Arabidopsis thaliana: one gene and its partner. The protein of the gene in region 1 interacts with the protein of each later gene in a pairwise test. Each region holds a gene or a part of one and is shown on either strand. Other genes may lie near its edges.

Region 1 (5,897 bases):
TGTGTGTTAATAAGAGTTATATATGGTTTAATAAATCATTGTCTGTGCTAATAAGAGTTATAAATGGTTTCAAAAAACCCTTTTTAAACATAGATTATGTTGTTTTCCTCTGCCATTAAACTTAGACGCATCTTAATTACTAACTCAAAAACAAACCCCTCTCGCTCTCTCTCTTTATATATATCTATAATTATATGACCTTACCGATATTTACTTATAGTTTAGTTACTACTAAGTTTGATATGAGACAAGAACATGTCTCTTGAGATATCTTCTTCCTAGCTTCTACTGTGATGTATCTGGATTCTCGATCACCAGCATACCTATCTACCCTGCAACAAAGCAGAAACAAAATCCAACTACTTAAGCACAAACCTCAACAAGATCAAGCAATGTAATATCATAACAACGTTACCATATATCCATGAAAATGATAAGTTTCAATTAGGGAGATGACTTCACCTTTTTCCTTCACCAAAAGACTCCTTTGCATCGATCATCACTGCAAATGGAATACAATCGCTGTTACGGGTTTTGTATCATTAAAGCAGCAGTACCATTAGGTTACGTAAAGCTAACATAGAATGAAACTTCATAAAATCTGTAATAGCACCTAAAGGTCTAGACTTTCATCCATTTCATACTATCTACAGATCAATGTAGCTAAAGGGCAGGTTGATCCAAGCTTTCATCGAGCAAGTAAGTGGACTGATCAAAGCTAACCTTAGCCGGAGAAGTGGCTACTCTGAAGCAATCAGCATTCATCCCAACGAGACCCAATCCAGGGAAAATGACCTACAATGGCAGACATTGAATTGCCTAAGAAAATGGAGACACTAAAAAAACGTAGTCATTGTTTTGAATTCTCTGTGAGGCAATTCGTCGAACACCTGGTGACTTACATCGAGATGTTTCTGCATAGCTTTTGCCCTCTTCCTTGGCCGGCGAGATGACCTGTTCCCACTCATGCTGAACAAATCTTCTTCGATCTCGTCTCGAGCTAGAGCAACCCAAAGCCTATGATTCTCGTTTGCAACCTCACCACCGCCTAATCCGGGTGATTCCGCCGGGATTCCTCTCTGCCTGTTCGATTTCGGCTCAATTCCTGCGCCTGATTTCTGATTCTTCACCTCCGAACCTCCTCCTCCGCCGCCACCGCAAACCTCCGCCGTGAACACGCCGTTTCCTTTCTTCGAACCACCATAAGCCTTCCTCGGACGAAGATTCCACGTCCTCTTCGCTTCCTCCTCCTCCGTTTCTTCTCTCTCCTTCACCGACACCGGCACTTCCTCTCTCGCGGGAGAAATCTCATCGGATTTCAGCTTCTTCAGGTTATCGTGCTCTGATGAGGGAGCAAAGGAGGAGAAAGAGAGACGCGGCTGACGACTTGACCGTGACGCCACGACACGGTTAGAAACAGCCACCGTCTCCGCCGATTGAGAAGCAGACCTCTCCGACTTGGAATTCGCAGACATTGGTATGAGATTATACCAAAACGTATTCACCTGAGAGATGATCAAAAACCCTAGAAGGTAAAAAGCAGAGAGGAGAGAGAGAGATGTAGGAGATTTACGGAAGCTGATGCATGCGTAAGTTTCTAATTATGTTTTTATTCATGGGGTGTTATTGGTTTATGATTTCAAAAGACTTTTAGTGTTTTAAAGTGTTATTTAGAATTTATTGTTATTCGATCACGATTTGTTAAAAGTATGTTATATTTTGTTGGCTAAAATAAATCATTAGTTAATTATTTTATATCCTGATATATCAACATCAATTATCATCCTTCTGATATGGGGATTAATATATGTTAACAATAAATCCAGAAAATTACGTTTAGATTTAGACATATAAATAAAGAGATCTTAAAGAAAAGAAGAGAAAAAAAAGAACCCGTAAAAAGCTTAAAAGACTACAACTGCTTAAGTCTATCAATGATGATCAATATATTCATGTAAGTGCTAAATAGGTTAATTTCTCTAGTGAATTCGATTTTGGACTAAAAATCAACAAATATTAGATCATCTAGTGAATTCGATTTCTCTAGGCCATCAAAGAATATTATTAGTTAGGTCCAAAGACCTAAATTTATTTTTGTGTATAAATTTAATAAAATAGAAATTTACATTTTGATATTTTTAATATTATTTTGGTGACAAAATATTTAGAAATTTTTTATATTTTTAAATATTCTTTTATTTTCATATATTTTTTATTTTATTTTACAAAAATTTAAAAAGAATAAAAATAAAAATAAGTTCATAAATATTAATTAGCAAGATATCTAATCTCCATTGCTTGTTTAAAATGTTATGTGGACGCGCAAATAGCTTCGTATAGATTATGTTACAAAAAGATTTCTAAAATTAACTATGTTTAAGTTCGTATTATTTTAGTTAAGGCCCATCAGAGAATATTAGTTAGGCCCAAAACAGTGACACTCACCGTTTTGGCATCTTCTACACATGAGCAAAACTAGACGCAACGCAATGATGGCGACTAAAACCTCAGAGCAAAAAACATGAACAACTTCTTCAATCCCAGTAGACCAAGCCCACGTCCATGGCCAAACAGGAAGAAGCAAACCGACAAATCTGCGATATTTCTTTGCTCCGTTTCTATACTTGTTGTGTTCTTCATCGTCGTCTTCTTCATCACTTACTCCGAGATGCCCAAGTCCTTGTTCTCAATCTCTGCATTTTCTGGATCCGTTCAATTCCCTCAGTGCAGATCCGAGATACTAACCCGAACTCTTCTAGGTCAGAAGTTTCTCTGGTACGCTCCTCACAGTGGATTCAGTAATCAGCTATCGGAATTTAAGAATGCGCTTCTTATGGCGGGAATTCTTAATCGGACCCTAATTATTCCTCCGATTCTGGATCATCACGCCGTTGCTCTCGGTAGTTGTCCTAAATTTAGGGTTTTGAGTCCCAGCGAGATACGAATCTCAGTTTGGAATCATTCAATTGAGCTTCTTAAGACTGACAGGTACAAAATCTCTTTTTTTTTTCGTAATGAGTTTTAGTAATTTGATCAATGTGGGTGACAAATGTTGGTGTTTATAGGTACGTTTCGATGGCTGATATTGTAGACATTTCGTCGCTGGTATCTTCTTCGGCTGTTCGAGTCATTGATTTTAGGTACTTTGCATCACTACAGTGTGGTGTTGACTTGGAGACTCTATGCACTGATGATTTAGCTGAACAGTCTCAGGCTTATGAGTCACTGAAACAGTGTGGCTATTTGTTATCTGGAGTTCGTGGTAATGTAGATAAATGTTTGTATGCTGTGGATGAAGATTGTAGAACCACTGTTTGGACTTATAAAAATGGAGAAGCTGATGGGAGATTAGATTCGTTCCAGCCTGATGAGAAGCTCAAGAAGAAAAAGAAATTGTCCAACGTGAGAAGGCGAAGAGATGTGTATAAGACTCTTGGACATGGTACAGAAGCTGAGTCTGCAGCTATTCTAGCATTTGGGAGCCTCTTCACAGCTCCATACAAAGGCTCAGAGCTGTATATCGATATCCATAAATCTCCAAAGATAAAATCTTTGGTTGAGAAGGTCGATTTCCTTCCTTTTGTTCGAGAGATAATGATCGCGGGAAAGAAATTTGCTTCAGAAACCATAAAGGCGCCGTTTCTTTGTGCACAACTTAGATTACTAGATGGCCAGTTCAAGAATCATCGGGAGAGCACTTTTACGGGTTTATATCAGAAGTTGGAAGCTTTGAGCGTTAAGAATCCTGGTCTAATTAATGTGTTTGTAATGACAGACCTTCCTGAATTTAACTGGACCGGAACTTACTTGGGTGATTTGTCTAAGAACTCTACAAATTTCAAGCTCCACTTTATAGGGGAACAAGATGAATTCTTAGCGCGAACAGAGCATGAACTTGATTCAGCGAGTCACGGCCAGAAATTTGGGTCTATTCCGATGAGTCTTGATAGTATAAAAAAGATGCAGACCCATTGTTACCCTCATGGAGGATCCAATGTGCAGCTTTACATAGAGGAAGCTGTTTGTAGCTGTGCTTCACTGGGTTTTGTTGGTACTCCAGGGTCTACAATAGCTGATAGTGTAGAGATGATGAGGAAATACAATGCGTGTAGTAGTAGTTGAACTCAGACTGCATTTCTATTGGATTCATCTGGTGGATGAGCCAATGTGTAGTGATTTTATTAAGTTTTGCCGGTCTTTGTATAGAGATGGATAGAGATAGATGATAGATCTGTCATCTGTCTCCACTTGAAGTTATTGGTGATGAAAACAGGCTCTTAAATTGTTTTGTGTTGTTAAGTTATTTGGGAAACTATCTAAGTTTCTTATTAATAGATGAAGCTACTTGGTTCCTTTCTGATTATTCACACACAACAATGGAAGAGTAAAGGTTGCGTGGGATGGTTGCTTAGTAAAGGTTTTGTGAGTTCTGTAGATGTCTCTAGTGGTCGACAAGATTTGTAATTGTTGTACCAATGTCTTTAAACCGGCTATTGAATAAGAAATTTTGTACCAAATAAATCTAGTGAAAGAGGGTTGGTTGAGAAGAAATGTAATTATATTAAACCGGAAATGAAATTTTACGTCGATGTGTATTTTGTGACCAATGAGATCTCTCCACGTAAACAGATTCCACGTGCAGCTTCAGGCCGATTTAAGCGAATTTAATCTGTCGTTTTGTTGGGTTCCCGTCGGTGACATCCACCGCGAACATTTCGACCGGAGTTTTGAGAGAGCTCAGAGTGTTTCGAGTGTGTTATTTGGATCTGCGATCTGATCGTCTCGCATCGACGTGAAAGGTTTTCTAATCCAATTGGTTCTGTGGAAATTTGGATTCGGAGGTTTTTGTTTGGAAGATCTTTCTGCGGTTTTCACCGCCATGGCTGCTCCGTTTTTCTCTACTCCATTTCAGCCTTATGTCTATCAGGTTTGTCTTCTATCTTCGTTCTCTTCTCGCCTCTTAGATTCGTATTCTTGTCTGTCACTATCGAGAAGGCTAGTGTTCGAATATACTTCTTCGCGAGTATTTTAGGATCCTTTCTCATGTAGGTGTTGAGTAATGTGATGTGTACTTACATCTAATTCAGTGATAATGCTAATAAGCTATTTCCTGGGTGAGAAATTGATCTCTTGAATGTGTCTGTGGGAGTATGAATCTCACAAGTGGTTATATGATGCAGAGTCAAGAAGATACGATCACACCTTTCCAAATTTTGGGTGGTGAAGCACAGGTTGTTCAGGTAGGTCGACATTTTATTTTGTAGTCTGGGCATTTTGTGTTTATGTGATTGACATATATACTCAAGCATTTGATTGTTTTTTTGACAGATAATGTTAAAACCACAAGAGAAGGTCATTGCTAAGCCTGGTAATTTCCATATTATGATTCCTCATTAAGTTTTGTAAGATCTGTTGGGTTGGATTGTATATGTTAACTGATTATATATGGTTCTTTAGGTTCAATGTGCTACATGTCTGGGTCCATTGAGATGGATAATACTTATACCCCTGAACAAGAAGTTGGAGTTGTACAATGGATTTTAGGAAAGAGTGTTAGTAGTATAGTTCTTCGTAACACTGGGCAAAACGATGGATTTGTTGGTATCGCTGCACCTTCTTTGGCAAGGATTCTCCCAGTTAGTGGTTCTTACTTGCCATGATTTCCTTCCGTAGTATTTAGTATCTTGCTTGATATAAGTATATCTCCTTATCTCGTTCTTATGTGTTTTGGTGACCTTTGGCTTGTTTCTTTCCGTGAAGCTTGATTTGGCAATGTTTGGTGGGGACATCTTATGCCAGGTAGAGCCGTCAATCTTTAGCTGCTTGGCTCTCAGCTTTTTCCTCCTCATTCAATGATGTGACTTTTTCTTGTTGTTGTGTAGCCAGATGCATTTCTC
Region 2 (3,885 bases), on another chromosome or scaffold:
ACCAAGATGTTGACATGCCAAACTTAGCTCCTGAATAACCCCTCGACGTTCATCATCTCCCCCTTTCAGCCGAGAAACATCGATAGTGGGTACGATTCCGGAATTTGAGTCACATGGTTTGCTAGAAGGCGGGACGACGTAACAGTCAGGTACATACGGTAAACTCCTCTCTTGTGCAGAATTCCCCATTTTGAATGTGCTTGAATCCTCACCTTTCTCCATTATTGGTATTTGAATTTGAGTGTTGAGAAATCGGTTAATATTGTGAAGGGATAACTAAAATGAAAGTGTGAGTGGCTCCTCTATATATAAGGTTTGTAGGCTTGTAGTCGTTTATTGATATTTCGGAGTTATATATTAAAATATGACGGTCGAATACTAAATTATTATTCTTCCTTTTTGGAATATCTAGAGCATGTGTAACTGTCAATTGTTTATCGTGTACCAATAAGAAACTAAACTTTATTATCAAAATGATAATATAATGAACATCCATATGTTGTACGAAATGTATAAGAATGTCCAAATTCATATATGACGAGGGATATTAATAAGATGTTGGGATATAGTAGGAAGTAGGAACACTAACATGGATTTAATTTTTAAATGGAGACTTCGATCTCATTCATAGTCCCAACTACTAAAAAACAAAAAGAAGCTTTCCGCAAAAAAGCATCCTCTTGTCCGGATTTCAAGCCTTCATAAATATGTTGGACACATATGTGAATGCATGTACAGATAAATTCGATATATATGTCGTTTGAGTTGTAACAATTCTGTAAAAATAATAATGAAATTGTTATATACGGTCATGCGTAAGGTCTAGGTAAAATGTATTGCGCCGGGTTCCTTCATGCAATGGGCATTTATCTTCCTTTGGGAAAGACAAAAAAATGTCTGATGTCACATTGTCACTGACATTAAAATGAGAATTTTCAATCATAATTTAACACAACTAGCAATTAAGAAATAATATTACATCGATTTTTCATCGAAATACAACTACCTAGCTTCTAGTGATATACAGTATTAGTACTATTTTTCGTTGGGTATATTAGTTAATTTATAAATACGTAATACGTAAATAAAAGTTGCAAACAAAATGTTCATCCTAGAAATTATATTTTAGGACAAAAAGAATTGTTTTCTTGTACATGTTTTAAAAATTCGACTATATTTTAACTTTTTATCCCAAAAGGCTAAACCATATATCTAGTATAATTTTTCGATCATACATGTTCTAGTTCTGATGCTCCAACAACTATAAAAAGTGTTACAAGGGAAATTCTCTGGACGCATATTATTAGGTAGGTTTGGTAAAGAGAAACACTCAGGATTAGTCGAGGAGTTATGGTTCAACACCCCTTCAATGCCAATTCCAAGCCCTCTGCAAGTATTTTCGAGAAAAGGAAAAGTACATAACAACTAATATCACCATTCCACAAGATCATATATAAATACAAGCATTATTTACTGGCCATTAAAATCTTCCCTATATTTGTATGTTGTGCAATCAAGAACAAAAAATAAATATGAATTACTGCTTCAATATCTCCATCAAGATTTAACCATTTTAGGGTTGTGGACTTTAACTAACAGCATATGAATCATATGAATTGTGAAACACGAAAAATTTGTTAAGAACAAAAAAAAGGCTATAGGGAACAAAGCAGATCATATATGTTGTGGTGGTTGTGAAGTTAGGTTATCCACCAATGAGCAACCTTAACCTATGCCTTATATAAAAACATATATATTTCCATAATTCCATTCACACATATGCATATAGACAACTATAGCAATACAAGAAAATTAAACGCAATTTATTGAGAAAATACAAACAGCGTGCACTATGAAGAAGACGTCGAAGATACAATTTCTTTTCAATCTCTGCATCATATTTGGGGTTGTAGTAATAAGAAGATGTAACGCAACGACATACTTTGTAGGAGACAGCTCCGGTTGGGACATAAGCTCCGATCTCGAGTCTTGGACTTCAGGCAAGCGATTCTCTCCTGGTGATGTTCTAAGTAAGTATCTTTGATCATGTTGGCTTCATCCAACTATATATATACTACATAATTAAAAACTCAAATTAATTTACAGTTTCCCTTAATGAACTAATTAGTCTAATTAATTATGTGTATAATGTTTTTGCAAGTGTTCCAATACTCATCGACGCATAGTGTATACGAAGTGGCTAAAGACAACTACCAAAATTGCAACACAACAGATGCGATCCGGACGTTCACAAACGGGAACACGACCGTTGCTCTTTCCAAACCGGGAAACCGGTTCTTTGTATGCGGTAATAGGCTCCATTGCTTCGCCGGTATGAGGTTACTAGTCAATGTTGAAGGCAATGGCCCATCTCAGGCTCCCGTGGGATCTCCCCAAGCCGCCACTTCAGGGATTCTTCAACCATCTTCTAAAAAGAATAACCCTGCGACCGGAGTCGCTAGCTCAGCCGCCCGTTTTGTTGGCGACAGCGGTTGGAGGGGTACCATGGGAATTTTTGTATATTTTATGGTTTTTGCTTTTCCATTCATATGGTTTTGCTGATTAAAAACTATCTATAATAAGTGTTTTCATGTATATGTGTATTCATATTTGCCCTATAATGAGTGAGAGTATTTATTTGTTGAATTTCTTTATTTTTGTTTGAGTTCATGACCAAATTAAAACCTAAATTTTTGGTTCGTTATACAAATTTCGTTTTGTTTGCTCAGCAAATTTCTTACAAAAATGACATGTAAACAACGTTATGCTTAAAGTTATTAATCAATCAATGTATAATAAAAAAAAAGGAATTAGATTCTTTGACTACATTGAATTTGTATTTGTTCGATTCGATAGCGGAAAATTCAAAAAATAACCGATATCGGTTTATATTTTAGGTAATTTTATCTGGTTCGGTGTAGTAAATTCACCGTTTGACCGTATCTATATCACAGATGATTCACTGCGATTAAAAGTTGTGGTTATCACTATCTAATCGTGATCGCTACCAAAACGCAAACGCTAGTTACCGGAAGACACGTCTTGAGTTTCGCAGCATCTCTCTCCTCTCCTCTGTTCATATCTCTCTTTAGAAATTTCTCAATGAACATACTCAACAGATTGGGTTTGGGATCAAGTGGGCAAACCAATATGGATCCTTCTCCGATCGCTCAGGGAAATGACGATGACACACCGGCGCCGGGGAATCAGTTTGCCCAATTCGGAGCTGGATGTTTCTGGGGTGTCGAGCTGGCGTTTCAGAGAGTCCCAGGGGTGACTCAGACCGAGGCTGGATACACCCAAGGGACCGTAGACAATCCTTCATACGGAGATGTTTGTTCTGGTACCACAGGCCATTCGGAGGTTGTTAGGGTTCAATATGATCTTAACGATTGCACCTATGAGTCTCTGCTTGATTTGTTCTGGTCTAGGCATGATCCCACCACTTTGAATCGCCAGGTATTTTTGGATCCAAGAGTTGAAAGTTTTAACCTTTCAAGTTCGGGGATTGAGAAAGATTCTGTCTTTAGGATTATTGAATCTATTGGGATGTGCCTGAGTCTGTTGTGCTTTGGGGATTTCTTGATTTTTCTCAAATCTGATAGCTTTCTGATTTTCATCACCAGTCTTTACTTTGAAACTTTTTAAATTTGGAACCTTGATCATCTAAGTAGAATATGAGGAAGGAAATGATATTGAATCTTGATTTTTGTTGAATTATGAGGCTTGAGTTGGTAACTTTGGTCGTTGATCTTAGTATGATCCAGATTATGTAGTAGCTCTGTAATCTCTCCCCTGTTGCTCCCTTTTTAATTGAGGTAGAGATACGGATTTCAGAGAGGTTCTTCTTGTTCTGTTCATGATCATTGATTAGCATTGGATTTC

The links. Proteins that work in one complex are often made in the same cells at the same time.
Region 2: the proteins of AT4G17430 (region 1) and AT5G07475 interact in a protein complementation assay, tested with the Arabidopsis thaliana proteins (one large-scale study listed by BioGRID).

What each region holds. Positions count from the first base shown.
Region 1 is NC_003075.7:9,723,426-9,729,322, reverse strand, and holds AT4G17430 (O-fucosyltransferase family protein), read left to right. Parts: upstream 1-2,488; 5' UTR 2,489-2,521; coding exon 2,522-2,988; intron 2,989-3,065; coding exon 3,066-4,122; 3' UTR 4,123-4,613; downstream 4,614-5,897. Other genes in the region: AT4G17440 (chromogranin (DUF1639)), read right to left, coding at 664-795, 903-1,475; AT4G17420 (Tryptophan RNA-binding attenuator protein-like protein), read left to right, coding at 4,880-4,927, 5,181-5,240, 5,329-5,368, 5,458-5,636, 5,761-5,799, 5,883-5,897.
Region 2 is NC_003076.8:2,363,504-2,367,388, reverse strand, and holds AT5G07475 (Cupredoxin superfamily protein), read left to right. Parts: upstream 1-1,783; 5' UTR 1,784-1,852; coding exon 1,853-2,030; intron 2,031-2,161; coding exon 2,162-2,562; 3' UTR 2,563-2,683; downstream 2,684-3,885. Other genes in the region: KUOX1 (KAR-UP oxidoreductase 1), read right to left, coding at 1-222; PMSR3 (peptidemethionine sulfoxide reductase 3), read left to right, coding at 3,103-3,459.